Caenorhabditis elegans: one gene and its partner. The protein of the gene in region 1 interacts with the protein of each later gene in a pairwise test. Each region holds a gene or a part of one and is shown on either strand. Other genes may lie near its edges. The genes, in order: nurf-1 and nhr-5.

Region 1 (13,985 bases):
GATCAAGAGGAAGGGCACTACAAAATGATGGAGAATTATGAGTGGGCCCTTTGGGAAGTTCTCATGGTGCACCTGGTGCAATCAATTAAGACTGGGAATCGACGAGTGGTGAGTTATAGATTAATTTTTACAATTTAAATTATAATATGATATTTCAGATCACAAGAGCCATAATCCACCACCAAGAGCACCGGTTTCCACTGGCACTTTACAGAAAATACGAGATCCAATCACTGATCCGAGCTCTTCCTCGTAAGATCTCAGCTGCTTCACAACTATTTGATGAGATCGAGCTAATTGAGGAGTCCACATTGAATTCCCAGCATATTGAAGCTTTCCGGGAGGTGAAAAAAGCTGTGAACGGAATGGAAGAAGGAGAAGAAGCATGGCCAGTGCTCATGTCTTTGATGATGGGATTCTTGAAGCAAGACGATGGATTTGTGAGTTTACCTCTGATGTTTTTCTCTATTTTCAAAATAATATTTTTCAGGTTCACGGAGCCGTTGAGTTGCTACTGAATTGCAATATTTCACGGGAGCGATTTGTCGAGTTTGCGGTGGAGAATACTCTACTGAATCTTCCATATCGAACTGAAGAGATCAATGAGCTACTGGTGAAGATTCGGAGCATGGAACCGCGTCAATAATAGATTTAATTTTCTTAAAAATTTTTTTTGTAATTTTTCCAAAGTTCAAATAAAATTGTTCTTGGAATTATTCAGCCTTACTAGTAATAGTTAGTATGCAAAATTTTGCAAATATTACGGTACCCGGTCTCACCAAAACCAATTTTGGTTAAATGCAAAAAGGTGTGTGCCTTTAAAGACATAATTGCAAACTCTCAGGAATTTTCATCGATTTTTTTATAAGTAGGTTTTCCTAAATCCTTTTTTCGAAAATTTATTGATTTTTTTTCTATATTTAATATAAGCTTTTTAATATATTGCGATCGGAAAAAATTCGATGAAAACTCCGCGGCCACGAAAATTTGACTTTTATGTACTTTTTTAAAGGGTGCATATATTTTCGCATTTAACAAAAAATTGCTGTGTTGAGACCTGGCACCGTATTTTTAGCATAAAAATGGCAGAACTTCGCGCCTGGGTAACATATTTTGCAAAAAGCATTTGGTTTTCCTTGTCAGATTCAAATTCCAAACCTTCGCGCCAACTTCACATTATCAATAGGGCGCGATTGCACGCAACACTTGCAATGTTTTTAAAAATTAAAAATTGTTTGTTTTCGATTTATTCTCTCGTCTTTTTCGTCTTAATACAATTTTCTCCCTTTTTAAAACGCAATATTCTTTCAGAATGAGCAACTCAGAGCCCAGCACATCAACTCCCTCAGGAAAAACAAAGAAGCGCGGGAAAAAGTGCGAAACTTCTATGGGAAAATCGAAGAAATCGAAAAATTTGCCTCGCTTTGTGAAAATTCAGCCAATTTTTTCATCTGAAAAAATCAAGGAGACCGTGTGCGAACAAGGAATTGAAGAATGTAAACGTATGCTTAAAGGCCACTTCAATGCTATCAAAGATGACTATGACATTCGAGTAAAAGACGAGCTGGACACAGACATCAAAGATTGGTTGAAGGATGCGAGCAGCAGTGTTAATGAATATCGCAGAAGGCTGCAAGAAAATTTAGGAGAGGGCAGAACTATCGCAAAATTTTCATTCAAAAACTGTGAAAAATACGAAGAAAACGACTACAAAGTCTCCGATTCCACAGTTACATGGATCAAACCGGATCGAACGGAGGAAGGAGATTTGATGAAGAAGTTTCGTGCTCCGTGTTCACGTATCGAGGTTGGCGACATTTCCCCGCCAATGATATACTGGGTTCCAATCGAGCAAAGTGTGGCGACTCCGGATCAGCTGCGGCTCACGCATATGCCGTATTTTGGCGATGGTATTGACGATGGGAATATCTATGAGCATTTGATTGATATGTTCCCAGATGGAATTCATGGATTTTCGGGTGAGAAATTGCAAAATACCGGATTTTTTCCATTTTCTCTGAGAAACCCCCAAAAATCGAAAAAAAAACAGGCGGGACGAAGGTACCATTATTTCTATTTATTTTTACATTTTACATTCAAATTGCCTAATTTCTCACTTTTCAGTGAGAAATCGCCGTAAAATTTTTTTGAAATTTTATTTCAATTAATGTCATTTTGAATGTCAAACACAAAATTAGTTTTAAAAAATAGCCTTGAAAGTGAAAAATGCGAAAAACAAGTTCCCACTTGTCCACGTGTAGTTCTAAATGTTTCATAAATCGACATGCATCAAACCTCGGGACAATCTTGCAAATCCTTAGCTCCAGGTATTTTTTAAGCGAATTGATGTTAAATTTTTCAGACAACTGGTCCTATGTCAATGATTGGATACTCTACAAACTATGCCGTGCTGCGCTCAAAGACTACCAAGGCAGCCCAGACGTATTCTACTACACCCTCTACCGTCTATGGCCAAACAAAAGTTCACAGAGAGAATTTTCGTCGGCTTTTCCCGTTTTGTGCGAGAACTTTGCTGAAAAAGGATTCGATCCGTCGAGCCTCGAACCATGGAAGAAGACAAAAATCGCTGAAGGTGCTCAAAATCTTCGAAATCCGACGTGTTACGCGTGCCTCGCATATACATGTGCGATTCACGGATTCAAAGCCGAAATTCCAATCGAGTTTCCGAATGGTGAATTCTATAATGCGATGCTTCCGCTGCCAAATAACCCGGAAAATGATGGAAAGATGTGTTCTGGAAATTGCTGGAAATCGGTGACGATGAAAGAAGTTTCAGAAGTTCTTGTGCCGGATTCTGAAGAAATTCTGCAGAAAGAAGTGAAGATTTATTTCATGAAATCAAGAATTGCAAAGATGCCGATTGAAGATGGAGCGCTCATTGTGAACATTTACGTGTTCAATACATATATTGTAAGAGTACGCGATTTTTGCGCCAAAACCTGGCCTCGACGCGACAAATTTTTGTTAAATGCGAAAAGGCGTGCGTCTTTGAAGAGTACTGTAATTTTAAATTTTCAATAATTTTTCTAACAAGGGAAGAGTTCAAAAACTATTCCTGAATTCGGAATAAAAATAGTGTCATGCGATAGTTGGAGGTCTGAGATGATCCCTCCGAAACATTTTTATTGAAAAATTATATTTCCAGTGAAATTAATTTCTCGCAAGTTTTCTCTTTTTTTTAAAGCTATAAAGCTTGATTTTGCACCTTTTTCGTTATTTTGTTTTTCATTTTGCGTTTAAGAGTTTGTATATTATGTAAATCAAACTATTTTAAACAAAAAATAGCGAAAAATAGGAAAAAAGGGTGCAAAATCGAGCTTTATAGCTTAAAATGCAAAAAATCCATTCTCAGCCATTCTGCGAGTTTGTCAAAAAATATGTCGACGAAGACGACGAGGAAAGCAAAATTCGTTCATGTCGTGACGCATATCATCTAATGATGTCGATGGCAGAAAATGTGAGCGCCCGACGACTTAAAATGGGACAACCGTCGAATAGATTGTCAGTTGACGCGATTTTTTATATAAAAAATTGAATTGTTTCAGAAGTATCAAGGATCGAGTCAACAACTTCCGTCGTAATCAGTTGAGTCAGGAGAAGGCGAAGCGTAAGCTGCGTCACGACAGTCTGCGTATTCAAGCATTGAGAGATGGTCTGGATGCGGAAAAATTGATTCGAGAAGATGATATGCGTGATTCTCAGCGAAATAGCGAGAAAGTTCGCATGACCGCGGTGACGCCAATCACAGCGTGTCGACATGCGGGTGAGGAATGGAAAACAATTATGGGGTTATTCGTGAAATGTAGAAAAATGCAATAATTTGTTTTTATACATTTTTCACCTACCCATGTGCATCGAACAATGTAGCATTAATTTTTTGCATTTTTCGACATTTTTCGGCATTTCCTGCATTTTTCGACATTGGGCGACATCCCACTTCTCATGCTGAAGGCGAGACACGCAGAGAAAACCCGCGGGTGCATATCTCTCTGCGTCTCTCGCCTTCAGCATGTGAAGTGGGCTGTCGACCGATGTCGAAAAATGCAGAAAACGAATATTTTTTTGTATTTATTGGACACACATGTATTTATTGGACACAAATGAATGAAAACACATTTTTGCACATTTTACTACATCGCATTAATAACCCCATTAATTGAAAATTAATTTTTAAACATTTCAGGCCCATGCAACGCGACAGCCGAAAATTGTGCATGTCGTGAAAACGGAGTGTGCTCGTACATGTGCAAATGCGATATAAACTGTTCTCAGCGATTCCCGGGATGCAATTGCGCCGCCGGTCAGTGCTACACGAAGGCTTGCCAGTGCTATCGAGCCAATTGGGAATGTAATCCGATGACGTGTAATATGTGCAAGTGAGTGCACAGGAATTTTTTGAAAAGTTTTTTTAGTAAGCTTTAATTTTTCAGAACTTCCAGAAATGGAAATTTTAAGAAAGGAAAAAATTAAACTTTCCAAAAAAAATTGATCGAACTGAAAATTTCTCGAAAAAGAAGGACCAAATGTCCATTAAAAATCTTCAATCAAAATCCCAAATTTAAAAAAAGGTATATAAAATCAAAATAGCACAGAAAAATCGAATTTTGTACCTGAAAATTCTCAATTTAAAAACAAATTCAGATGCGACGCCATCGACTCGAACATAATAAAATGCCGCAATTTTGGAATGACTAGAATGATCCAAAAACGAACGTATTGCGGGCCATCGAAAATAGCAGGCAATGGACTTTTCTTGTTGGAACCCGCCGAAAAAGACGAGTTCATTACGGAATACACTGGTGAACGAATTTCCGATGATGAAGCCGAACGACGCGGTGCGATATATGATCGATATCAGTGCAGCTACATTTTTAGTATGTACTTTTTTTAGATCACGGTGTCGCAGAAAAATGTTTTAAATTTAAATTTTTTTTGGGTTTTTAGAGACAACATTTCGATTTTTTGAAAATCAAATAAATAAGAAAAAATTATTTCAAAAAATTAACAAAATATCGAAAAAAAAAACCATCAAAAGTTTTCTTTTTTTTTGAAAATTCAATTTTTCGGAACAAAAAAAAATATTTTTGCAGACATTGAAACCGGGGGTGCGATCGATTCGTACAAAATTGGAAACTTGGCACGATTTGCCAATCATGACAGCAAGAATCCGACGTGCTACGCGAGAACGATGGTTGTCGCCGGAGAGCACCGAATTGGGTTCTATGCGAAGAGACGGCTTGAGATTAGTGAAGAGCTCACATTTGACTACAGTTATTCTGGAGAACATCAGATAGCGTTCAGGTAGATTTTGCAAAAAGCTTTTCGGGTCTCGAGACGACTGCAGCTACCGTACCCTCTAGTTTTTTCCACTCAATTTTTAAAAATTTATAACACAAAGATTTTTTTGGATCAAAAAAATCATGATAAGCCGTAGAAAATTGTGGTTGGTTACGGTAGCTGCAAATTTTCGGTCGCTTCGAGAACCAGTTTTGTGTAGACTTTCAACTTGACTTTTTGAATAAACTTTTTCCAGGATGGTCCAAACCAAGGAGAGATCCGAGAAGCCCAGCAGGCCCAAAAGCCAGAAACTCTCCAAACCAATGACTTCTGAATAATCTTTTTTCTTGACTTTTTTTCTTAAATTTTTCCCGTTGATATCACTTTCAAATCTCAAGATCTACTTGTTTAACTGTTATTTCCCTAGAATCTCATGTTTCTGAATACATTTTCCTTCCTTCAAATTTCTGAAAACCATAAATATAATCGAATCAAAATTCCTCCTATAAAATCGCCCGACACAGCACAATTTTTTCACTTCTTCCTTAAAGATGGTGATTTTCTTCTTATTTTTCTTATTTCCCATGCTGCTGGAGGCTTCGGAAACGTAAGTTGGATTTTTTTCTGCAGGAAAATCTGAAAATGACAAAAATTCCAGTAGCAGAAGCTTAATCGAACCACCGGCCGTAATTCCTGAGAAACTCAAAACATTTTGCCAGATCGATCCAACGTACGAGATTTGCGTGAAGCTTGGCATTCCGAAAGCTGCGAGAAAGTTTGCAGCGAGATCCAAAATCCAGGGAAGACAGAGAAAAGGCGTCGATTGTAGGCAGGCCCCATTGCATCCGGGTTGTCAGAGATAAAAATGTTCCAAATATTATAGAAAAATTCCAATTATAGAAATGTGTACCTGGACAAGTTCATCGCGTGGAAAATTCATCACGATTGCGAGGTGAATCCAAATGGAGAATTTTGCCCGAAAACTTTGAATCGGAGAGCTTCTGCTTCTTGTCCATCCTCCTCCACATCTTCATCGTCTTCTTCGTCGTCGTCCTCGTCTTCCTCATCATCATCCTCTTCTTCTGAAGAATCCCTGGCAAGAGTGAGACCGGCTCCTGTAGAAACCACGACATCACAAGAAAATCCACAATCTTCCGCTAACACCTGGGAACTTTTGAACAAATTTTCCTCGAACGGAAGAGAGAAGAGTTTCCCTAATACCTTCTACGGAACAATTGGAAACTATTGAAATGTGATGATGATAACAATATAATAAATGAAATGATTTAATATACATGAAAAGAAGGCATAATTGATACGTGGATGAAAACCAGAGTTAGACCAAGATGTTGGAGAGGTTCGATCTGAAAAAAATACACGTTTAGTTTATAAAGAAGGATTTTTTGGTTAAATAGCTTTAAAATGGACCTATATAAACGAGTCTGGTGGTGAAATATCAAAATTTTTACCGCTCTTCAGTGCCGCCCGCATAATAATAATTAAATAAACATTAAGTTCCGACTGCTGCCAGCCACACAGTAAAGTAGGCAAAACTGAAGATTTTAGTCCAGATTTTAAAAACTTTTGAGCAGTTTCTTCACAAAACTTATTTTTAATTAAATCCCTTACAATTTCTTTCTATTCCCATCGTTAGGCTCATTCGGCGTGGTTTTCAAGAGATTGACGTCATCCGTCCACTTCGCAGATATTGCTTCCAATTTTTCTGGAGTAAATCAGATAAATTGTTTCAAAGACTATCAGCTTACTGTTAAATTCCCGCTCATTTCCAATTTTGTTCTCATCGTCCAATCTTTTTAGTTTTTCTTCCAGTTGCTCAGTTTCAAACATATTTTTGTTCAGTAGCTGTTGTTCGAATGACTGTTGCTCGTGGCGTTCTGAACAAATGTTTTGTTTTATGCACACATCTAAACAATTTCCTTGCAAATTTACCATCGATATGTTTTTGAGCATCGATTCTCGTTTTCATAATTTTTTCCTGGCATTTTTGGAGTTTCCGCATTCCTTCATCAACTAATTCGTCTTTCTCATTGACTGCCTTAAGACGATTAATAATCTTGTCCATATACTCGTTGAGTGACTCCATTTTGCCGAAAAACCTGCAAAAATTCAATGAAAATCGGTTAAAAACTAAGATAAATAAATAAAAATGCGACAGCAAAATTAGCAAAGATAAATTCCAACTCAAATTCCCGCGTCAAGAGGGCCAAGGTCTCGTCGCGACCATTGCAAATAAATGTGTGCGCCTTTAGGGTGTGCCTCTCGCACTGAGTCGATTTACGGCGCGGCGCGTTCAAAAAAGTGTCCAAACTGATTATTTAGACGGAAAAGTGAAGGAAAATTTCGGAAAATTATTATTTTTCCTTTTTTCCCATTGTTTTTTATGTTTCCACTTGAGAAAAGCCGATTTTCCGCTGGAAAATGAGTTTTATCCCATTATCGATTTTTTCAGCTTCAAAAATTAAGATTTCGTACTGTAGTTTACCAATCCTGGATCCTTTTTTAATGTATTTTTATCTAATAATGTTATATTCCGATTGTCATTTCTCGCAAATTTTATTGATTTTCCTCCAAAGACCATATGATGACGTAAAATCTTTTTTTCTTGGATTTCAAGCTCTTTTTCACAATTACCAGTGTTCTAATTTGATTTTAAATTTATTCCTTTCGAGGCTTTCAATATTTTTTGACGAACATTCTTAAGCTTATCGATTTTCGAAAAGTTTCGAAATTTTTTCAGATGGCTCCACCACGTGGCCGTTCAAAGCGAAAGCATCCGTCTGAATCCGGAAATTCTTCAATTGCCGATTCAGAAGACCCATCAGAATCCACATCATCATCTCGTCCACGCCGCAGTCGACTTCCGAAACGTTATTTTGACGACGGTTACAGTCCACCGCCAACAAAAAAACGTGCGGCTCAACGGGAAACACCATCAGACGCCGAGGAGGTGGAGGTGAAGATTGAAGAGATCTCGGTTAGATCTACACCTGCGTCAACACCAGCACCAAAGAGTACCTCGAAGGCTAGAGGGTGAGAAATCAAGAAGAAAAATAATTTCAGAAATTCCGCTGATTTCAGATAATTTTCAATTAAATGCTTTTTTCAAGTTTTAACGCAAATTCTTAGGATATTTCCGCTTTCGTCAAATTTTCAATCGAAAAAACGTATAATACGCTTTTTCACGTCGTTCACAACAAATTATTTAGATTTAAAGAAAAACTATGCAAACCCATTTGCGATGTACAAAAATTTGTCGTTTCGAGATCATATTTTCGCGCCTGGGTAATACCGAATACAACTGCAAAATGTTTCGAATTTTTGCAAATATTCAAATTCCGAAGGAACTATGCTTGCGTTCTCCGGCCAATTTTTCGGGTTTTCTTGATTTTTTCTCATTTTTTCAGAAATCGAAAATTCAAAATTCTTTTTATGATAGTTTTGCGGAAAAACGCCTGAAAACGAGGCTACAATTTGCATAATCAAGAAAAACAAAAATAAAGTGTTCCGCAAAAAAATTAAATTTTGTTTTCAGAAAAATGGAATTTTACTCAAAAATTGAGATTTTTTTTTCACAATCATGGATTTTTTTTCCAAAAAATTGGGAATTTTTCTGAAAAATCCCAATTTTGCAAAATTAAGAATATTTAGAAGCTATATAAATCTGCCTGTTCAGATTAAAAATAAATTCCATCAATTTTCAGCCGACCCAAAAAAAATCCAACTCCACCACGTCGCAAATCGCTAAAACGCCAAGAAGAAGACATTATCTACATGGATGAGGATTCTGAAGAAGAAGAAGAATCTTCGGACGATGAGTTCATGCTAAATGAGGATCAGGTTGTTCAGGAGGAAGAGGAAGAGTTGAATTTAACAGATATTAAAATCGAAAAAGGTCTCGACGAGGAGAACAAGTATTGTCCGTGGTTGGATGAAGATCCTGCAAGTCTACCAAAACTCGAACTACCAGAATCTAGTCAGGATATTCCGATTCCAACGGCTAGTATAATGGATGCTGTTGAAATTTACGAGATTCTCCGATCTTATCATCGAACTCTCCGCATCACACCCTTCACTTTTGAGGACTTTTGCGCGGCACTAATATCGCACAACAACTCATGTATTATGGCAGAAGTCCATATGGCTTTGCTTCGTAATTGTCTGAAATCCGACGATGAAGAGCAGACGCACTACTCGGTGACCGAGACGAACAATTCTGTAAATATAATGATTCACCATATGGATACACTGACCTACGCTGAAATTCTACGACAATATATTGAGGCGTACCCGTTTGCTGATGCGTCTGTTAGAGATGCTATTAATGTCGATAATTATCCGTTTGTGGGATATGATGCAAAGTAAGATTCAATTTTAAGAAAAATCCTTTTTTTTTTAAATAAAATCGCAGTATACAAAGAGACTTTAGTTTTTTTTTTAATATTAAGCATGTTTTCAGACTCGTCGTCCTTCTCTTCATGAGCTACCGTTTCTTATATTCGTCGGAATTTAAGAAACTTGTGAATAATGTTGGAAAATTCCAGGTAAAACTCTCGTTATATAAAAAATTTAACTGAAAGAAATTCAAATGTTTTTTTTTTCAGAACGACGAAAACTGCCGAGTTTGCGGTAAATCGTCAGGACGTGTAGTAGGTTGCACTCAATGCGAAGCCGCTTTCCACGTGGAATGCAGTCATCTGAAGCCATTTCCTGAGGTTCTTGTATGCAATATATGTAAAAAGAATTCAGCAGTTCGTGGTGTACTGCCGCCGGATGAAGCTGTCGACCGGGAACCGTTAAGATCTCAACCAATCGGAAGGGATAGATATGGACGATATTATTGGTTCATTGTTCGACGTCTTGTTGTGTAAGTTTTTTAAAGTGGAGTAGCGTCTGTGCTTTTTTTACCTGAATGATAGAATATCGTGCCTATATACCAAATATAACTGTAAAAAATTATAACATTTTTCTAAATTTTTTAATGATTTGTTTCAATTTTGAAAAAATAAAAAGGGCTCAATTATTTTTGAATTGTCGCGCAAATAAGTGACGTCTTTTTCGGATGTTTTGATTAGTTTTTCTTCATTTTTTCTTTGTTTTAATATTTGTAGATTTTTCAGACATTTTCCGGACAGAACACTTTTAGAGGCCAAATTATCGATTTTTAGACAAACTTTAATTTTTTTGGCACATCAATTTAATGTTTGAATAAGTATTCTAAAATTTGCCTAAAATTTGCCTAAATAATATGATATTTTTAAAAGGTTTTTTTACGGAAAAAAAGTGTCTGAAAAATTGACGTTCAAAATTTTCAAATTATAAAACAAAGAAAAAATAAAGAAACTCCAATTAAAACAGCTGGAAGAAATGCCGTCACTCATTACGCACGGGAATACAAAAATAATTCAGCCCTTTTTTTCAAAATAAAAAAAATCATAAAAAAATTAGAAAAATGTTATAATTTTTTAACAGTTATCGTATATTCTCTATTAGTGCTGCATGTAGCACTAATTTTCCTACCCTTCTTGAATGCAGCACTATTAGAGACTGCAGTATTACTGGAGACTGCAGCATTAATCTTCAAACGGCAATTTTCAATTAGAGAATACTAGTTGTTAGTCACAAAACCTCTTATTTTTAGCAGAAATTCATCAAAAAATATGAACTTTCGTACCAAGAATGACCCAATAATTCAATTATGTTTGTAAATAAAAAGAAATAATCAAAAATATGCAAAACAACTCCCCAAAATGCCGAAACTACTAGTGACTCTTCCAATTGAAAAAGGGACGCAGCACTAATAGAGACTGCAGCACTAATTTTCCTACACTTTTTGAATGCAGCACTATCAGAGACTGCAGTACTACTGGAGATGCAGCACTAATAGAGAATATACGGTATACCGTATTTCCTCTATTAGTAAGGCGTCTCTAATAGTTTTGCACCTCTATTAGTATTGCATCAAAATTATCTATCGAAAAATAGTTTTGCCGCCTCTATTAGTTTGGCACCTTTCATAGTTTTTCACCACTATATTTCTGTCCTATTTTTTGAGATTCCAAAATTTGCAGTATAAAATCCTTCAACAAATCAAAAAAAAAACTCTTACAGACATGGTATAACATTTTTTACTAATAGAGGAAATACGGTATTTGGTATATCGGGACTGTATTCTGTCATTGTTAGGGCAAAAACCCACCTTTAACTATTTTATTGTTGGCAAAAAATTAATATTCAATAATTGCAGTCAATCCCTTGATGAAACGGAACTTTACTACTATTCAACAGTTCCACAACTCTACCAACTCCTTCAAAAACTTGATCGAACGTATTACGAAAAGGATCTTTGTGATACGATTCGCCTTCGAATCGACGAGTTTTTGGAGCAAATGGCTTTGACAGTGGAGATGACGTCAGAACGGAGAGAAGCTGCATTGGAGACGATGGTGAAACGGCAATTGATCGGATATGATTTTGCTGAAGCCACGACTCCGCAGATTTATCTTCATAGGGATAGCAGTTAGTTTATAATTATGGACCGTTAGCCTCAGATTAGAGGCATCACAGATTCAAGATCTGGCTCGATGCCAACGCATTTTTTCTAAAAAAAAATCGCAGTTGGTACGGTGCCAGATCTGGAAATCGTAGATCCCACCAGATCTTGAATCCGTGGAACCTCTCAGATTAATCAACGAAACTATTACAGTGAAACGAATGGCATCAATTCTTCGGGACTGTGCTCAAAAGGGACAGGTGAAGCAAGAAGTCAAGCTGGAAGAGCCCGTCGAAGGACAGTCGCCAGTGAAATGTGTTCAATTTGTCGAAGATTCCATTCTGCCCGAATCAATGATTGGAATTTTCGATGCGAAACTGATCAACACGTTTTGGAGTGGTGGGGCGACGCAAGAGGAGCTCGTCGAACAGTTTGTCGATATTTCGGACAACTTTGATGCCCCGAGTGCAAACCTCTGGCGGATGGGAGATGAGGGGAATGATCAGACATTTATGACGTATTATAATTATTATAGGTAAGCTTTAATTGATTTAATTTGAAAAATTTCTTGGAAAAACAATAAAAACTAACTGGAATGATCGAAGAAGAATTAATTTTAAAAATCTAACTTTTCAAAATGTCTACTTCAACTTTGCTAAATTTCAAAAAAAGTGACATATTATATTTTCTTTTAAAATAAAACGTTTCATAAAAACTTTTTTCTTTGCCATTTTTCTCTCTAAATTTAATTTTTGACCAATTAGAAAAATACCGAAATTTTTTAGAATTCAAAGCAATTATCTGTAAATGTACTTGTTTAAATTATTTCTAAAATTTTTATTATTGCAGTCGAAACGAGATGTCTGAGAGCTTCCTAACCCGGAAAAAGGCGGCGGATAAAAAGAAGTATATGGCGTCAAAATTCGCTCAAATCGACAATTTCGATTGGGTTGTGGCGAAAAATCGGCAATTCTACGGAGACGCGAGCCTCCATTGCAAGTTCATCATGTGGACGCTACAACAAGTCATCAAGAACATCCCGATAGATTTGATGCATAGGAAATGGCCTGAATTCGCCAAAGGTTTCGATCTGGAAGTTTCTGTGGCTGATGACTACAAGAAGCTTGTCACATGTCTTCTCAAACTGGATTGTGCCGTTCGAAAGACAATATTCATGCCGCAATGGTGGAATGGATTGGGACAAACTCGACTGGAAAGGATTACTGTAGATCAGAGGGAGAATTTTATGAAAGAGCAACAGAGGCTCAAGAAGATTGACGCGGTTAGTAAACAATTTTTTTAGAAAAAAAAGTGAAACAAGAAATTGTGGTTCAGGACGCCCTTACCAAAGATCTTGATGATAGTTTTGTCCGAGTGAACTACATGAAACCGAAATGGCCGAACACCTATATACTTCGACAGCGTGGAGAGACTTATCGGAACGCTGGAAAAGGATCGATGGGTGGTTGGGCGTGGGTGGCGGCGAAATACGTGGAAAAATGGATCCAAGTTCCCGAATCACCGAAGTTACCGCTGGCGGTCACTGTTGAGGAGATAAAGGTTGGAGATTAAAAGTTTTCCAAAAAAATGAAATATTTTCAGACTGAAAGCGTTTCGAACCGGAAAGCTCGTCGACTTGAGCTGCTGGTCAGCAAAATAACTAAAAAACGACAGCGAAGTGGTGGAAAAAGCTCGAAAAAACCAACATTTGAGCTCACAAATGGGTGTTATTCGCCATCTTGCCGATCAAATCCCAACCGGAAATGCTATTCACCAATGTGCCGAAATGGTTATCTAGTCAGTGCTAAACAGGCACACGATGAGCGAAAATTAGAGGAAAGCGGAGTTTTGGGCGAAGAAAAAGCATGGCCGATACCAGAAATTCAGACTTTTTCGACGAAACGAGGAGGAAAAAGCATTTTTGTTTTGCAGAAAAAGTAGGAGAGTTTATCATCAAAAAAAGTACGAAAAGAAGCGGAAAACTAAAAATTTCCAATTTTTACACATTCTTTCGAAATTAAGAAAAAAGCGAACATGCGAGCATTTTGTGAAAAATTGGGAAAAACGCGAAAAACACGCAACATCTTTTTTTTCTATACAAATTGTTCAAAAAGTAGAGGAAAACTGAATATCATCAATTTTTCACAATTAAAAAAAGGCGCAAAAAGAATCTTAA
Region 2 (16,942 bases), on another chromosome or scaffold:
AAAACAACTTGAAACATGACTTCTAAAAAAATTTGCATAGAACTCATAACATTATGGCAAAATTTTAACTTTTTTTCACTGTTTCAAAAACTTTTGAAAGCATATATATCGTCAGAATTTATAGTTGATATGGTAAATTGTGAACATTAGTATGCCATTCCATGTAAATTAGAAATTTGCAAAATAGTTTGGGATAATACATGTTTTATTAACTTGTCAAATTCATTTCATGTTAGGTTAATAATCACTTTTTTCAAAATAATTTATATTATTTTTTCATAAAACAAGCAGGTGAAACAACGGCATCGTTTAAGAACAATCATCACAAATCTTAAGGATATACTGAAAAATAATAATTTGAAAACACAATTTTTATTGTGCTTTTCACGTTTTCTTCAGCATGAAACAATTTTTTTTTTAACTAGCTGAAGTGGCTGGAACAACAATATTTCCTTATTTCCTGCCTCAACACGACGAAAACTAGCAAACTCCCGATAGTAACCTAAGATTCCAAAACAATTTTTGAATTCAATTTTCTTTCTTTGCTCTTTGTAATTCAATTTCTGTAATGGCTTTTCGTGTTTAATCAATTATCTGTCTACAGTTCTGTTCTAATTTTTTTTTCAATCCAGAGCTTCACTGCAAGCAAAGACACATGAATCCAAATGTTTAATGAGTATAGTGAAATAGTAGAAATTTCGAGGTAAAACGTTATGCGTTCTCCAAAGAAGGAAGTACCAAAAAATGTAATTAAAAAAATTATACATCTTTTTAATTGTTGTCTTTGAAATTGAAGTGTATATAACAATCCTGTATATAACAAAATTTTAAATTTGTTGGTGTCCAATTTTGGTTTTCAACACAAAGTAAACATTGCTGTTTCTTAATTAATTCAATACGTTTTCATATTTTTTAGGTTGGTTTCAGAAAAAAATTGGTATCATCAGAATTATTCTTTTAAAAAAATCCAGTGAACTGTTGTTTATCCCCACTACACCGTCAATCACTGCTCTTTCACCGTCTGTGTGCATTGACGATTGTAGTATACTATCATAACACTATCATAACCTCATAACATAACATAACATAACATAACATAACATATCATAACATATCATAACATAACACTATCATAACTTATCATAACAATTTTGAAACAGGTTTTCATTTTTCATTGCTAACATTTTTTTCTGCCGATGCAAAAGCAACAAACTGAACATTCTATTAATAGAGTAATGTTTCAATATATCGTCAAAATTTATAGTTGGCATGACTTTATAGTTTATCTATTAAATGATTGGCTGTATCAATTGATCAACTGTATGTGTTTTTTTAAAAAATTTTCTCCACGTCTCTCCGAGAGCGAGTGTAAATAAATAAAATTAAGTTAAATATCATAAAGTGTGAGAGTTGATATGGTACATTGTGAAAATGTATACGTCATTCTAGGGCTCCGATCCGGCGTCGCTCCCACGCCGCGATCGAAATCTTTATAGCGATGGGCGGAACCCAAAAAGTGTTGGACGTGAAGCCAAGTTTGCTCCGAATAGTGCGATAGGATATTATTTGGTGAAAATTTGGCTAACGCTGAAAAGTTATATTATATATTAACAACGTGTTCTTTGGCAGACCACTATTATTCAAAAATCGAATCTAATAATGAAAACAACGTGAAACAGACTCAAAAAAAAATCATCTAGAATTATTGATACGGTCGGTATAGTTTTTCTCAAAATAACACCTTCAAGCACGTTTTTATATTTAACATTTTTTTTCTGTCGATGGCAATACAAACATACAAAAACTTTTTAAAATGAATTTGGGAAATTATTGTTTCAATATGTTGTCAAAGCTCATAAACATTTTTTAAACAATTATTGTGAACAGATAGTCAACATTACTATTATAATCATTGTTTTCACAGATCTGATTTCAAAAAAACTGAAAGTTAACAATTATTCCAAGGAAGTAATAACTTGTATTACAATAAAAATTTGATTTATGTTAGGTTCCATTACGAGCAAATTGCTATTGAAAATTCATTTCCAAACCAATTTTATAAAATAAAATTGCCATTAAAAGATTTCTGAACGACTACTGATAATAGCGTGTTGAAACGTGAATCACAGTTCAAAAAAGAAGGCGCAAAAGTGTTTTAATTCAAAAAAGCTAAAAAATAAATAGTCAGAGTTTTGAAAAACAAAGGAATCATTCGTTTTTTTTGGATTCTTTTTCTTTTTTGGTTCTTTTTTTGGATCTATTTTAGTTTGTAAGGTTAAATATTGTTTCATAGATGAAATAAAACTGATTGTTGAAATCTTCCTGGAATTTAATGATATTCTGAAACATTAGATTTTAAAATACACTGCTTCACCAAATTTAGTGACTCTGGCCGTTCACCAAAAATAGTGACTCTGGCCGTTCACCAAAAATAGTGACTCTGGCCGTTCACCAAAAATAGTGACTCTGGCCGTTCACCAAAAATAGTGACTCTGGCCGATCACCAAAAATAGTGACTCTGACCGTTCACCAAAAATAGTGACTCTGGCCGTTCACCAAAAATAGTGACTCTGGCCGTTCACCAGAAATAGTGACTCTGGCCGTTCACCAAATTTAGTGACTCTGGCCGTTCACCAAAAATAGTGACTCTGGCCGTTCACCAAAAATAGTGACTCTGGCCGTTCACCAAATTTAGTGACTCTGGCCGTTCACCAAAAATTGTCCAAATTGTTTTTTTTAATTGAATACTACGGTAGAAGTTGCTAAGAGATATTTTGCGCCACGAATGTAGATATTCTCATTATTCGACGGTTTTTATACAGAACATCTTAATATTATATATTCCCCTTTTAAACTTAAACACTGAAGAACGATTAAACTGTTTCGTGTAGACATTTGTTGAATCTGCAGATTCTGCATGGAGTTATGCCTAAAATAAAAACATTGTTGGTTTGTGGTCAGGCAGTGACCGGTTTATTGAAGATAGAACAGCTCCTAAGAGCTGGTATAAATACAGAATAAGTGGGGCCGAGAAATAGGAAGAATCTTACAACGGGAGACAAGGGGGAAGAATGCAACTTAGACTGCAAGGCAATCATTGTGATATTAAAAGTGCTATGAGTCACAAGAAAGGAATGATATGAAAAGAAAGGGACGAGTTCTCCTACAAACATAATGATAAATTCTTTTTTTTTTAATAAAAAAACTGCTTCAAGCGCGTAATTTTAGAAAAACGTAGGATTTAAATTTTTTATAAACGAATTTACAATTTTTACAGTTTCAACACTGAGACTTAAAGTTTGTTTTAATCATAGTGTCAATGGGGCAACAACAATTTCGTTACCACAACAATTTTCCAATCAATAAAAAGTTGATGTGTTTTACAAGTTCTCCATTTGCAGCACATTCCAGTCTATCAGCCTTCAGAAAAGCCCGACGGAAGAAGACTTTACCACCGACACAGCTTGATGCTCCGAGCAGCTTTTTCGGCTCTGCAGACCTGTCTCTCACCTTTTGCTTTTTCAACTTTTCGAAATAATATACAACTTTACTCTGTGGAAAATTAAATTTAAAAAAAAACTTGCCACCAATGCATTTATTAAGCATTTAGGAATTAAATAATGTTTCACTGTTTTCATAAATTTGACAAAGTTTTCGAATTTTAGTTATATCACATTTGATGACCATTTTTTAAAGAAACTCCGGTAATTTTAAGAAAATTTCATTCAAAAAGTCAGAAAACGCTTTATAAAAGCTTATGAAATCCGTGCGAGACCCATTTACCATGATTCAAGACGTATTTGTTTTCAAAAAATTTCACAAATTCTGCTGAGTCGGGTTTATTTCGAAAGTTGTAGTAGAAAATATTCGAGTACTGTTTCAGGTTTTTGTTATTATATAATTTTTAACATTTATTTGTCCAATTTCTTTTTGAGACCTTTTTTTTTAACTTTTTTCATGTTTCACTAATTTGAAGAAGCTGCCTAATTTTTGGAGCAATTGTTTTTCTATTCTCTAAAAGTATATTCTCATTTAACAAATATTTTATTCTACTAACCATTTTTCGAAATAAAGTTTACTGTTTCCGAATGCCGATAAACTTAATTGATTTTTAAACAGTTTAAATATAAATAAAAATGCCAATTTTCGAGAATTTTTGTGACAAATGGTGTCAAATATTATATAAGCTCTAAAATTTGCGAAATAATAAAAAATAAGGTAGGCACGGTAGGCATGTCCGCCTGGGAGCAAGCCGGGCTATCGTGGACCTCTCGAATTTCAAAATCTGTTTTTGTAAGGTTCTGAAAAAAAAAATTAAAAATCAATATAAAAATGCTCGGAACTAACCAAGTGGCGAGAAAAGTGTATGCTCTGTTTCACATTTTCTACATAAAATGATCATTTTTTGATGATTAAATCAAATCAATCAAGGTTTTCAAAACCAAAAATTCACATCATTCTGTAATATATATGTTGAAAATAAGAACAAACTTCGAATTCCCTAATCTGACCAGGAAAAATCGAAAAACAGAACATTTCACCGTGAAATTAGTATAGAGCTGTTAAGTGTTGAAAAAAAATTATTTAAAAAAATCTACCGTTTCAAAAACTTTACAAAATTATCAAAGATTATTGTGCTTTACTTTGCCTCGTATTATACCAGTCAAATTAAAAAAATTAAAATTTTTGCAAAACAAAAACTGAAAACACACAAAAGTTTAATATAAAATTTTATTCATAAAACCTTGAAAATCACATATTATCGCAAGAATCGCAAAGAAATTTGATAGAAATTCGGGAGAAATTACACGTAAATCATCAGCATTTGACCAAATAGAAAACCATATGAAAAGTGAAGAATTATGCCACCGGATTGTAGGAAATGTGGAGGAGGAGGGGGAAAAGAAAAGCGCCCGACATCTTACGGGTTCTGGCCCGTCAGGTGTCGGACGCTTGATCATTTGAAGACCTAATTTGCATATTGATTATGAAAATTATTTTGTTGTAGACTATTATTATGATGTGAGTATGGAATATTCGGATGATTATACACAAAACCATCATTTCGTGGAAATGGGTAACTGGTACTTTCAACATTTCCATAATTTTGCTGTTCCATGACTTGAGATGGGTAATTATTTTGCTGAAAATTCTGGAAATACTGTGGTTGTTGATACAAATTCGGATAGTTGACATTCGGTGTGTATCCAGCATTTAATGGTGGATAACCAGGTGGTGGAGGGAAATTGTAGAATGTGGAGGATGTTGTGGAGGAGGGTACTGTAGGTCTTTGGGTTACTGTAGAACCACATTGAGGGAGGTGGGATGGTCCTGGAAATGTTGAAAATGTGTTTTTTTTTCATGAGCAATGGTTTTTGGCAACTCCAGAAACACAAATTTTAGAACATGTTTTTTACTGTTTCACAATGTTAATAAATTCAAATTGTCGAACAATTTTTCAATATATCAGACCGTTTCAAATATCATTAAATCACAAACCTTGAATATTACTCCCAATTCGTCGTGTTACTGTTGAACCACTTGGTACAGTACCCAAATCCTCAAAACTGGGTCTCGAAGCGATTGCATTCGAAACGTTTGAAGCGTCAAAGTTGAGACTTATCAAATGATTCTCGGCGTGATTGTTCTGAAAAATGAATAAAATTTAATTTCAAAACAGTGTGGATACCATAGCAGAATTAGGATCATCAGACGACGATTGGGTGGAAGAGGGTGCCTGGAACACGTAGGGAGACAATGGAAAAAATGTGGGAAATGGGAAAAGTAGGTATTGTGGAATTGCTAGAAGCACTGAATAAATCTTAAAGCGAAGGAAAATATGGAGTGAGTAGAACAGTTGATTTAATTTTAGAAATACTTTTTTTTAGAAATTAACGTTCTTGTTTGAAGGATTTAAATAGTGTTAAAAACATTTAAATGTTGAAAATTGAAATTATCTGCCAACACGAGCGAACTAAAAAAATTTTAAAGTGGAAAGAAAATATAGAGTAGATGAAACAGTTGATTTAATTTTTTTTGTTTCAAAATTTTCAGTTTCTCGAGTTGTTAATATAAAATTGATTTTTAAAGCTATTCCATATAACAAATCGTCGAGAAATAAGAATTTGAAAAAAAAAACAAATTTCGTACTGTTTCAAAACGTTTATAAATATCAGTTATATAATTTCAGCTTTAATTTCTATCTTCTTTCAGATGGAACATAATAAATTTTTAATAAAAATGTAGAATAATTTGTTTTTCTTCTAAAAATTAACATTAGGTGAGTTTTAAAAAAATCATTTCTTATTAGCTAAATATAACAATTTGATTGTTTAAAAAAATAAATTTGAAAATTGATAAACTTCTATTCACTTTATGTGATTCGTTTTCAAAACTAAATCATAAATAAAGTAGATTTAAAAAAAAAACAAAACGGAAGAGTTTGGAATTGGAATTCTCAAGAAAAATTGTATGTTTCAACTAGTTTTGAAAAACTAATGACTAATGGAAAAACACAATGATGTGCAGGTCGCTTATGAAGAAAAATATTTCATATTAACTTACTGGTATTTTGAATCACTTGAAAACTGTGAAAAGAATAAGTAACTCATAAAAATTTCAGACTCTTTATGTCTCATGGGGAACTTGCAAACACAAAGGAAACGAAAAAAAAATGCTAAAAACATATAGCTCACCCTCAAATCATCCAACATTTCAGTAATGTAGAAATTGTTTGGAGGCTGCAAAAGTCGAAAATTCTGTCGAGCAGGTTCTTCGCTGTCCTCATCGATAGTTGCTTGTCGTTTCTGAAAATATTACTCGGTTAGAGAACTGCATAAAATATGAAAGAGTCTGGTATTGAATTAAATGATAGCCACGAAACAGTAAACTTTTTTTTTTCAAAAAAAAGTACAATTTCGTCAAGTTAATGTAAATCATGTTCTAATTTAAAATGTGTTGCGAGTCTGGTCTCTTTTGTATTATTGAAAACTATAATTTAAAAAAAAATCGAAAAAAATAATCATTTTTTTTGGCAGAACAATGTATTTCTACAATTTCTTGAAATTTCAAAATTCATATCAAAACTGACCAATAATGCTCTTGGAGGAGGCAACCTATCAGTTTGTGTACTCATTTCCTTCTTCTTTTCAGCTTTCGCCTTTTCCAAACTCATTGCCGCCAGCTCGTCGACTTCTTTGAAAAATGGTTCAACTGTGAAACAGCCGAATAAGTCAGTGAGAAGTGGAATTTCTCCTTGATTTGAAAATGTTTGAGCAAATTGGAGATTTTCACTCATCGCATTTGCTAGTTCCTGCAAAAATTGGGGAACATGAATTTGGAGAAGTTATGAACTATAAAAGTAGTTTAGAATAAATTCGAATGAGGCAAGTAAATATGAATCCAAAAACAAACAGTTCAGATTTATAATAAATGAATATCAAACATTGTTGAAACGGTAGATTTTCAAAATTTTAACTTTTAAATGTGTGACTGTGTAGAAGCAAAGTTAAGATTTTAATACTTTAAAATTTCATTTTCTTTCTAGTTGAACATTTCCAAAAAAATTGTGAGTTAACCCTCTACAAATATTTTTCTCGTCGTCAAATCAGTAAAAGCCTATAACGTTTAAAGCGCCTTGAACAAATCACTCGAAACCCATTGTTGCTTATCATTACACGAAACGGAAAAAAAGTTTTACCATTTTTAAAAAAATCAATTTTTAAAATAAAACAACGTTTCAAATCCCTTAAAAACTCTGTTCAACGTCAAACAAATAAAACAAATATGAACTTACTGTAACAGTAGCCAATGAAAGAAGTATATGTCCGTAACATACATTCGGTGTCGGACTTAATCGAACCTCCTTAACAATTGAAAAAAGACAATCAGCAATTCGATTTCTCAGCTCAACAATCTTTTCAAACAAAGAATCCGATACATCTTTTGCCAGAGGATTCAGACAAATCATTGCATTCACGCAAACAATTTCCTCTTCTCTCATACCATATTCCCGATATACTGCTACAAGCTCATTTAGAGCACGTTCCACGAGTCCGTTGCCGAGGTGACTGAAATTTTGAAATGATTTTAAGAAATACAAAAGTAATGAATTCTTGAAAATGCTGACTAATATAATAGTTTACCGAAACGGAACGAGAATAAACATTTCAAGTTGAAAAATTGTTCACTGTTTCAAACTTATTTGAAAAGTGCATGATCTTTTTGAGGCTTTAATTACAAGAACATCGAACCAAATAAGTGAAAATTGTCTTCAAAATATAGACAAATCAAGTATTATTCTCAAATGGCATTATCAAAATATTTTATTATTTTTTGATTTCCCCGTTAATTTGCTGTCAAACTCACACAACGTGGCGTGGCGTCATAAGTCTTAAATAAGAGCAAAGAACATATGTACATATGAAAATTTAAAGTCGTGAAAGCATTTGTACAAGTAATATTCTCAATTGGCATTATCAATTAAACAAAAAAGAATTTTTTTAGAAATTCATTTCTAAAATGAAGAAATACCTAGAAAACAATTTAGTTGATTTTTAAAAAATTTCACTGTTACACTAACATTATTTTTGTGTTTGAAATTAGGAAAAAATGTTTCTCAAATTGTTGTAAGGTTTTGTGATTGCCTCGCTAATTTTCCGTCAAGCTCCTAAATTGGACACATATGTACTTTATAAACAAATATGAATAAGAAATGTTTACTGTTTCACATTGTTAGTGAATTCTAGCTAGCTATTCTATTTAATATTGAAACTTCTCATAAAGTCCAAGAAAATAATTCAAAAAAACTAAAACTCACTATGTGTCCTCATACATTTTTGATATATTCCGTGGAACATATGCAAAATTACAAAGGCATAGAACATTCTCATCCTGACAAGCTTCTGCTGTTCTCGCACAAAAATTGAAGACCATAAGTGGGGCGAATGAAGATTTGACCAGTGCTATCTGAGGGAATATTATTAATTAAGCGTGATTTTTAAGTTAAAATTGGGAATTTTTTTGAAAACAATTTGAAACCAATTTTTTTGTGCAAATGATGTTACACTAAAAATGAAAAAAAGCTGTGTGGCGTGTACTGCAGAAAACCTAATATTTAGGCCCCGCCTTCTTCTCGTCCACTCACGGAGAAAAGGCAAAAATTTGGACCCCAACCAATATCAGGCCGCCAACATCTCACAGGTTCCACGCGCAGCTATGTTTAACTCGCAGCGGGCGGAGACAGCTCACCACGCCCACAGCGAGTTAAACGCAGCGGCGCGCGGAACCCGTGAGATGTCGGCGGTATGATATTGGTTGGGGTCCCGAATTTCGCCTTTATCCCGTGAGTAGACGAAAAAAAGGCGGGGCCTAAATATTAGGTTGTCTGCAGTACACGCCACGCAGTTTTTTATTTTAAGTGTATTTGCAGTCAACATTAGAAAAATCCTGAAAAATAAAATTTTGGAATTTCGGAATTTTGGAATTTTTTTTTAAAGACTTTTGAAACAGTAACTATTGAAAAAAGGTGTTCTGTGTCAACTTCTCACCTTTTTTTCAGCGAAATCAAAGTTTTTCAAAGAGATTTAGTATCAGGCCAGAAAGTTGAAGAAAAACTAGCAATTATAATTAAATCCACTTTAAAACTAAATTTGAGGATAAAGCCATGTAGCAAGTAATGAATGGAGAGCGCTTTGTAGAAACAAACGTCAGTTAAATAAATAGGGTGAAGCAATATTTTTTTTTTATTTTTTTCAATTTTCTAAAACTTATTTTTTCTAAATTCCATTATTTTCTCACTTTGCAAAGAATATTTATTACCTTATCCTGAGGCGTTAGGTGTCCCAACAGTGGTGACAGCGATTCAACCCAATCAATTGCAGCAATCAACCTCCGATAGGCAATTGCACATAACTCATCATTTCCAGCCATTCTGTATGCTTCATATCTCATTTCTGTTCGTTTTCCTTTTAATTGAATCGGTGTTTCAATGATATCACTGAGCTTATCAATTCCTTTCAGCGGGTACAGTTTTGATGCTTCTTGTTGTGTATCTCCTTTCATTACCTGTAATTAATAGAAATTGTGTCAGCAGCCGACGATAACCGAGGCCCCCGCGCGAAATACCTACTTTTGTCTCAATATTCAACAGTGTCATTAATATTGTTCTCATCTCAACCGTCATCTTTTTCATCCACTCCTCGCGGCTTTTTGTGGTCCTACCACGATCAGTTTGATCGCACGTGGCTACTGTAGTTGTCGGCTTACGTGGCTTTGGAGGTGCGTCTCGGTTTGGGCGGACATCTGAGATATCATATTAAATTTGAAGGATGAGTACCGTTAAAACAAAAGCTGAAACATTTATGGGAAACTTGAAACTGAAAATTTTTGAAATAATTTTTGTCTTAAAAAGGGGAGTTCAATAGTATTTAATACATTCGAAACTGCTATATTGTTCCAAATATGTTTAACTGCTTTACTGCATAATTTTTTTTTGTTTTTGCTATATTATAAACGGAAAAATTAAATATTGAATTGATATCAAAACACAAAACGTATAAAGTCTGGAAAATCAAAAATTGAAAAAAAAAACTACTGTTTCAAGAATAAAATTTACTTTCAGGTATTAACTGAAAACGATTTATTTTTATGTATATTCGAACTTATGTCACGATTTAAAAATCGTATAGAAATAAATAAAAAATTCCAAAAATTTTGGATTGAAAATAAAACTCACAAGCAGGATTCATTCCTTCGCGTAGGCACTTATTGAATCTACAGCTTCTGCATTGGGTTTTCTCTGAAAGAAAAAACACAATAAATTGACTTTGGTAAAGGAAAAACTGTTTCAAGCGCGCAATTGCATAGGTTTTATGATTAAAATTATTTAACGAATTTATAATTTTTACTGTTTCAACACTAAAATATACATTTTGACTCAAACAGAATGTCAATATGACTTTGATAGCTTTCAAAAAGTAAAAAAAAGTAAAAAACTGCGCAATTCCCAATGTCAAACTCACGCAAAACACTAACTGTACACTCTCCATTTGCAGCACATTCCAGTTGATCAGCCTTCAGAAGAGCCCGACGGAAGAAGCCTTTACATCCGACACAGCTCAGTGCTCCGTAGTGAAGAGCAGCTTTTTCGGCTCCGCATACCTGAAATGTAATTGATGTGCCCCATAATTTTTTTACTTTAATTTACGGGAATTTGCAACTTGTAGCAACGAAGATTCAGGATAAGTTTTGTATTTAAATCTTTGTCAACTTAATTTAAAATTTATAAAGCTCTGTTTCACCTTCTCCAGGAATGGCAATTGCTTTAGACAATAATATTAATTTATTGAAAAAAACTTTCCCGTCCTAACTACATATACGAAAACTCACGTGATTTTTCAAAATATGTGCCCCTTTGTGAGTGGTTCAATGATGCAAACAGACTCTAAATTCCGTAATCCGATAAAACAAAAATTGGTCACAGAACATTTTAGTGAGGAACTTTTAAAAGTGTGGAAACTTTTTTTATAGGAAAAAAATTACTGTTTCAAAAAGTTTAGAACAATTTTAGAAATTTTTGTGCAATACTAGTCTAACTTTGCAAAGATTTGAAACTAACTTTGCAAAGATTTGTGGACGAGCTGCTGCCCAAATTGCTGTCCTCGGTTTCTTCGTCAGAATCTGAAAATTTTAAAGTTTAAAAATTTTTGGTCAAACAGGGAATCATACCATTCAAAGTAATCACATTGCTACTCCCAGAATTTCTATTCACATTTGAACTGTTACCGCCAGAAGACATAATTGATGTCAAATTAAATTGAAAGACTTTGCAATGAGATTGATTATCTGAAATTGAAAAAAAAATGATTAGATGAAAAGAAAATTGAAGAGAAGATTCAAAAAATCGAAAATTTAAAAATTCCACTGTTTCAATGAGAGTGTGAATTAATGCCTGTCTTGTTATAAAATTGCTATATCTGGTTTTTTTGGTATCTCAAATGATAAGCTGGAATCAATTAAGAAATTACAAAAAATTCTTTGAAAGTAGATTTTCGAAAAAAAAAAAGGATAATTATGGGAAAAATAGAATAATTAACAACAAATATTACAGAAGAAATAAAATTTGTATTCAAAAAGTGTCATTACTGTTTCAAAAAATCAATAATTTCTCCGATTTTATATTACTGACAATAGGGGGTGTTCACCAAAATTTTAATTATTCTAAATCATTTTCAAAATTAGAAATCAAACCAAAATCAAAAAGTCTTATTTTTGAAACGATGAAAAATGCAATGCTATTCCAGAAAAGTTTTATATACACTTTTAAGAAATTTTTGGTAAGTTTGAATATGACACAATTATTGATTCCAAAAAATTATATTAAAATTTGAGAACATTCAGAAAAAGTAGAAAATTGTGAATTTTAACAATCAATTTTTTTTGAAATTAACTGAACATTTGGGATATTCAAAATACATAACTTTTTATTAAAAATAAAAATTTGAAAACTCTTGAAAACCACCATTTTCTACCGTTTCTAAAATCTCTTCTGCACCAAAAAAAAATTCGGTAAAAAATTATCGAATTTTATTTTTTCGAAACAGAAAAAATAGAAGAAGCTATTCCAAAATTCAAAGCTTTTGCGTATAAATTTCACATTGAAGCAACTTTGTAATAACGAGAAACTTAACTTCAAAATATAAGAACATTCAGAAAAAGTAGACATTTTTGAATTATAAATTATAAACGCTTTAAATTAGTTTTATGTAATTTTTTTTTGAAAATTTGCTGTTTCAGTAATTATTAAAATGGTGATGCTTATTTGTTAAATTGTTTTTACTAGCAAATGCTATGAGATTTTGGAATATCAAATTTTCTAGACCGTTTTCTGAAGTTCATTAAAGTTAATATTTCTAACAACCTCCTGATTTTTACCAAAAACCCTTAATAAATCTGCTAGCAAAAAAAATAAATGTTTTCGTTAATTTTATTACAGTTTCAAAATTATGGGATCTGGAAAAATTGTAAGCAGCAGTATTCGTCTTGTTGATTACCTAAGTTGAATTCTCGAAATATAGAAAAAAAACATTATTGCGCGGAAACACAAAAATTCCTTCCAAAAAAGTGAATTATCAGTAACCCAGAAGAGAGAAATCAATACAAAAAAGAATCAGGCCCCCTCTACCGACAAACAAGTCGCCGTCAAGTACGGTCATGTGTCTCTTTTTCTCTCTCTCTGATCAGAAGACTAGATTTTCTGATTCTCTTCAGTCCAGCACACTATCTCATGGAATAAATATCTTCTATCTTTGAACTGTGCGGTTGGAAGTATTTAGTGGAGAGAGAGAGAGAGAGAGAGAGAGAGAGAGAGAGAGAGAGAGAGAGAGAGAGAAAAGTGATGGGAAGTTGAAACTTGACCAATACGACGATTTTTTCAAATTAAGCGGGCTTCTTGCGTTGAACGATCAAAGTTTGGAGGTGATTGATTATTTGGATCGATTTGGCCTTCGCAATATATCAGAAATCGTTTTTATCACGAGAAAATTTTTAATTTCAGTAAAATGGAAATTGTAAGTAAAACGATACGAATGGGATTAAAGGAACACTGAACATTTTATGGAGGTTGTGAAACAATATTCTTTTTTTTTGTTGCAATTTTTAAAATATTCTACCGTAAGTCCTAAAGTCCTAAAGGGAAAACTTGGATCAATTTTTTGAAATATTATTAAAGACATTTTTGCGGCTTTAACACAAATTGACAAGATTATTACCGTTGAAAAGTAACAGGGTTTATGAGAATGTTGAAGCAATATTTGTTTTTTTTTTTTTGAATTTCCCGGAAATTTTAAAGGTCGTATCACTATTCTTCTAACTGTGTGGTAGAAAAGGATGAAGAAAACTTTAAAAAATGTTGCTAAATCATTGAAATTTGAGAATAAGTACATTACTCTGCACCCGACACCGCGCGGGGCTGCCCTCAGAAATCTGACAATATGTCGGCTGCTACTTTTTTATTACGGCACACTTTAGCAGAGTTTTTTTTGAGTCTGATAGCGCCCGACATCTTGCGGGTTCCCCCAAAAGGATTGTTGGTGAAATGTCGGGTCTTGTAAATTGCTTCTCAATATAAAGAGAAAAGCATTTTCAGAACTTTTCCGTATACAGGTGTTGTTAATGAAAACTGGATTCTGAATTTTTGGACATTACTCTTGTTCTAACGAGAAATAATTACATGGAAATTTTGAAACAGTAATCTTTGAAACATTTCCAATTAAAAAATTTTATTTTCTAGTCATTTGTAGAAAAGTTATTAGTGAAGTAGGCATTTTTAAATAAACTTTCAAAATGGTAGGATCTCGTACGAAAATATGTTTTACCTCTCCTCCAGGGTATCTCACTGTTGTAGAGCAGTACTCAAAAAAAGCAGAAAATCTAAGTATATGAAGTTTACCGTTTCTATCTATTACATCAAAACTGGTAAGAATATTCTAGAAAAAAAGAAAAAAAACTTTAGCATAATTAGAAAAATACTTCCCTGAACAAAATTAAAAAAAAGAAAACTCAAAATTTCGAAAAAGCACAAAGCACCTTTGTGTCCTATTAAATTTTAATTCAAATAACTGTGAAACAGTAAACTTTTTGAATTAGCATGGCACCTACTTTCAACTATAAGTAACAAGTTGTCATTGTCCTTTAAATTTTTTCAAAAAAATTTATTGAGACATTGAAACAGTTTGAAAAAATTATTACTTTGTGATATTTTCTTCAAAAATGATAATAATTTTAATACTAGACAAAATCTGACTTAAAAGTCCAAATCGTGTTTTTTAAAAATACGTTCAATGGAAAATCCGATTTACGATTTTTATTGGCTATGAGTCTAGTTGAGACTAGTTTTCTGGGAACGAATCGGAACAAAAAACTTTAAAAAAATTTCTGTTTCAGACAGAATTTTATCCACTTATTTAAATTAAAGTCAGATGGTATTCCTCGTGACTGAGAAAATAAAAACCTCATTTTTTTTCAGGAAGAGGGAGAGAAAATATCATACTGAGAAAGTTTTGAGTCTGTCTTAAAAAGGAAAATGTGAAACAATTTTTCATTCAAAACTAATTTTATCAGCAAATTTGGAACAAAACAATTTTACTGTTTCCGGTAGAAGTGAAATTTGGTTATCTCACTTTAAAATTGATAAATAGGTCGAACAAAAAATTGAAAATTTAGTCACATAGTCGAATATTATTGCAAAAAAAAAGAATCTTTTGGCAGCAGTCTACTACAATTTCATTGAACTGAGAAAAATTAGGTCAAGTTGAAGACTAGTTGAAACATTTTATTTGAGATTTTAGCTCCACTACAATCCCGCCAACCAATAATTTTTTATTTACAATTTCAAGTTTTGGAAAATTTTATGCGCCATGTTTCATAAATTCACTAAAAATTCATTCAAACTTTTGTTTGGGTTGCTTTCTAATTATTTTTTATTAAATTTCCTAAAATTCGAATTCAAAGTACTTTTTCAAATAGTTGTTATACGTTAGTCTACAAAAAATTGCAAATATGTACTTCCAAGACCCAAATTTTTTGATAATTTTAGTATCAATGCTATGTTTCCATCCTTTTTTTAAATTTTGTTTCATCAATAAGCTCCGAGTACAACTTCTAATAACTTAATAGCGAAACAATGTTTTTCCAAAAAATCTAATACTGAGACATTTTTTTGGAGAATGCCAGTAATATGTACTGTTTCACAAAAAATACGTTTTTTTTTCATTAATAAACTAGAAGCGAAAATTATAACTTTACGAAGAAAAAGTTTGAAAAAGTTGTAGTTTCCCTACTGTATAAATTAATTAAACCACTTTTTAACAAACTCCAAAAAAGAAAACGGAATCAAAGGATGTTTAAATTTACATTAAATATGCACACAGTGAAACAATTTTCAACTTCAGAAAATAAACTTTTGACAATTTTGAAAATGTGTACAGTTTCCCAAAGCGTCAGATTTTTATAATATTTGATTAATTGTTCGGCGAAAAAGAAGATAAATTAAGTTGTAAGAAAAGTCTGGTCAAATATGACTTTTTAGTGAAACAGTAAAATTTTGTTCAATTTACACATATTCCGAAAAGGAATCGAAGACGTTTTTGAATAAATCTAAATGTTTTGATGAAACAGGAAAATTTTTCAAAACTATGACACTGTCGCATATTCAAAACTCTATAATGCCTGAATTTTAAGATATTTGAGACATACGCAGGCACTAAAATATTATGAATTTTTCAAGCGACGATTCCCAATAAAGTGGCAAAACTGAGATTTTTCCAATTTTCAAACAAACATATAAAATTTAGAAAATTTCTGTGAGCGTTCTAAAGCAATCAATCCGAAAACCGAAAGATTTTTATATGTTTTGTGTGAAACGGTAGTTTTTTTAAAGACATTTTCACGGCATCTCATCAAACCATTGTGGCTCAGAAATTTTCCCGTGAGACGTCGGGCGCTATTAAATTTTTTGTTTTTCCGATAATCGAAAAAAAACCTTATCAAATCAGAAAATACAGTAAAGGTACAAAAATTCTGACTAAAAAACATCCGTAAATCAGTTATCAGTGGGGAAGAGAAAAAGTTTCTGCGACGAAATGAAATATCTCTTCTCACTTCCACCCATATAATCACCATGCCTAGGATCATCTAAATTTTCTGATAAATTGCAAAAAGTCTGATAACATTTTCATCTTTTTTGTATTCTGCCTTATCTTATCAGAAGATAATCTTAACTTTCAAAAGTCACGTTTTTTGAAATTCAGGGATTTTTGAATATTTGAAGCTTAAATTATTGCATTAAATCGTCATAAAGTAAATTTAATTATTGTTTCGTTAGAAATTGAAAAGCTTATAAAACCAATATGAAACAGCACAATTTTTCGAAATTTCAAATTTG

Evidence for each region.
Region 2: the proteins of nurf-1 (region 1) and nhr-5 interact in a two-hybrid assay, tested with the Caenorhabditis elegans proteins (one large-scale study listed by BioGRID).

Annotation. Positions count from the first base shown.
Region 1 is NC_003280.10:14,382,664-14,396,648, forward strand, and holds the start of nurf-1 (DDT domain-containing protein), read left to right. Parts: upstream 1-8,050; 5' UTR 8,051-8,056; coding exon 8,057-8,349; intron 8,350-9,020; coding exon 9,021-9,677; intron 9,678-9,775; coding exon 9,776-9,860; intron 9,861-9,920; coding exon 9,921-10,183; intron 10,184-11,563; coding exon 11,564-11,835; intron 11,836-12,022; coding exon 12,023-12,344; intron 12,345-12,658; coding exon 12,659-13,091; exon of another isoform or gene 13,092-13,144; coding exon 13,145-13,369; intron 13,370-13,411; coding exon 13,412-13,746; intron 13,747-13,985. Other genes in the region: sdz-26 (SKN-1 Dependent Zygotic transcript), read left to right, coding at 1-108, 159-440, 491-646; Histone-lysine N-methyltransferase mes-2, read left to right, coding at 1,313-1,979, 2,363-2,931, 3,374-3,522, 3,567-3,784, 4,205-4,397, 4,663-4,895, 5,112-5,322, 5,555-5,636; F26H11.8 (uncharacterized protein), read left to right, coding at 5,850-5,905, 5,957-6,161; kbp-3 (Kinetochore-binding protein 3), read right to left, coding at 6,635-6,662, 6,928-7,021, 7,065-7,193, 7,249-7,402. UniProt on the Caenorhabditis elegans protein: Histone-binding component of a NURF-like (nucleosome remodeling factor-like) complex, which would catalyze ATP-dependent nucleosome sliding and facilitate transcription of chromatin. Involved in vulval cell fates.
Region 2 is NC_003282.8:15,395,188-15,412,129, reverse strand, and holds nhr-5 (Nuclear hormone receptor family member nhr-5), read right to left. Parts: upstream 11,854-16,942; 5' UTR 11,798-11,853; coding exon 11,728-11,797; intron 11,680-11,727; coding exon 11,618-11,679; intron 11,608-11,617; exon of another isoform or gene 11,587-11,607; intron 11,359-11,586; exon of another isoform or gene 11,338-11,358; intron 11,161-11,337; coding exon 11,022-11,160; intron 10,974-11,021; exon of another isoform or gene 10,953-10,973; intron 10,843-10,952; exon of another isoform or gene 10,822-10,842; intron 10,799-10,821; coding exon 10,736-10,798; intron 10,661-10,735; exon of another isoform or gene 10,640-10,660; intron 10,559-10,639; exon of another isoform or gene 10,538-10,558; intron 10,333-10,537; exon of another isoform or gene 10,312-10,332; intron 10,303-10,311; coding exon 10,130-10,302; intron 10,066-10,129; coding exon 9,820-10,065; intron 9,688-9,819; exon of another isoform or gene 9,667-9,687; intron 8,968-9,666; coding exon 8,819-8,967; intron 8,789-8,818; exon of another isoform or gene 8,767-8,788; intron 8,636-8,766; exon of another isoform or gene 8,614-8,635; intron 8,257-8,613; exon of another isoform or gene 8,232-8,256; intron 8,107-8,231; exon of another isoform or gene 8,086-8,106; intron 8,070-8,085; and 29 more. UniProt on the Caenorhabditis elegans protein: Orphan nuclear receptor.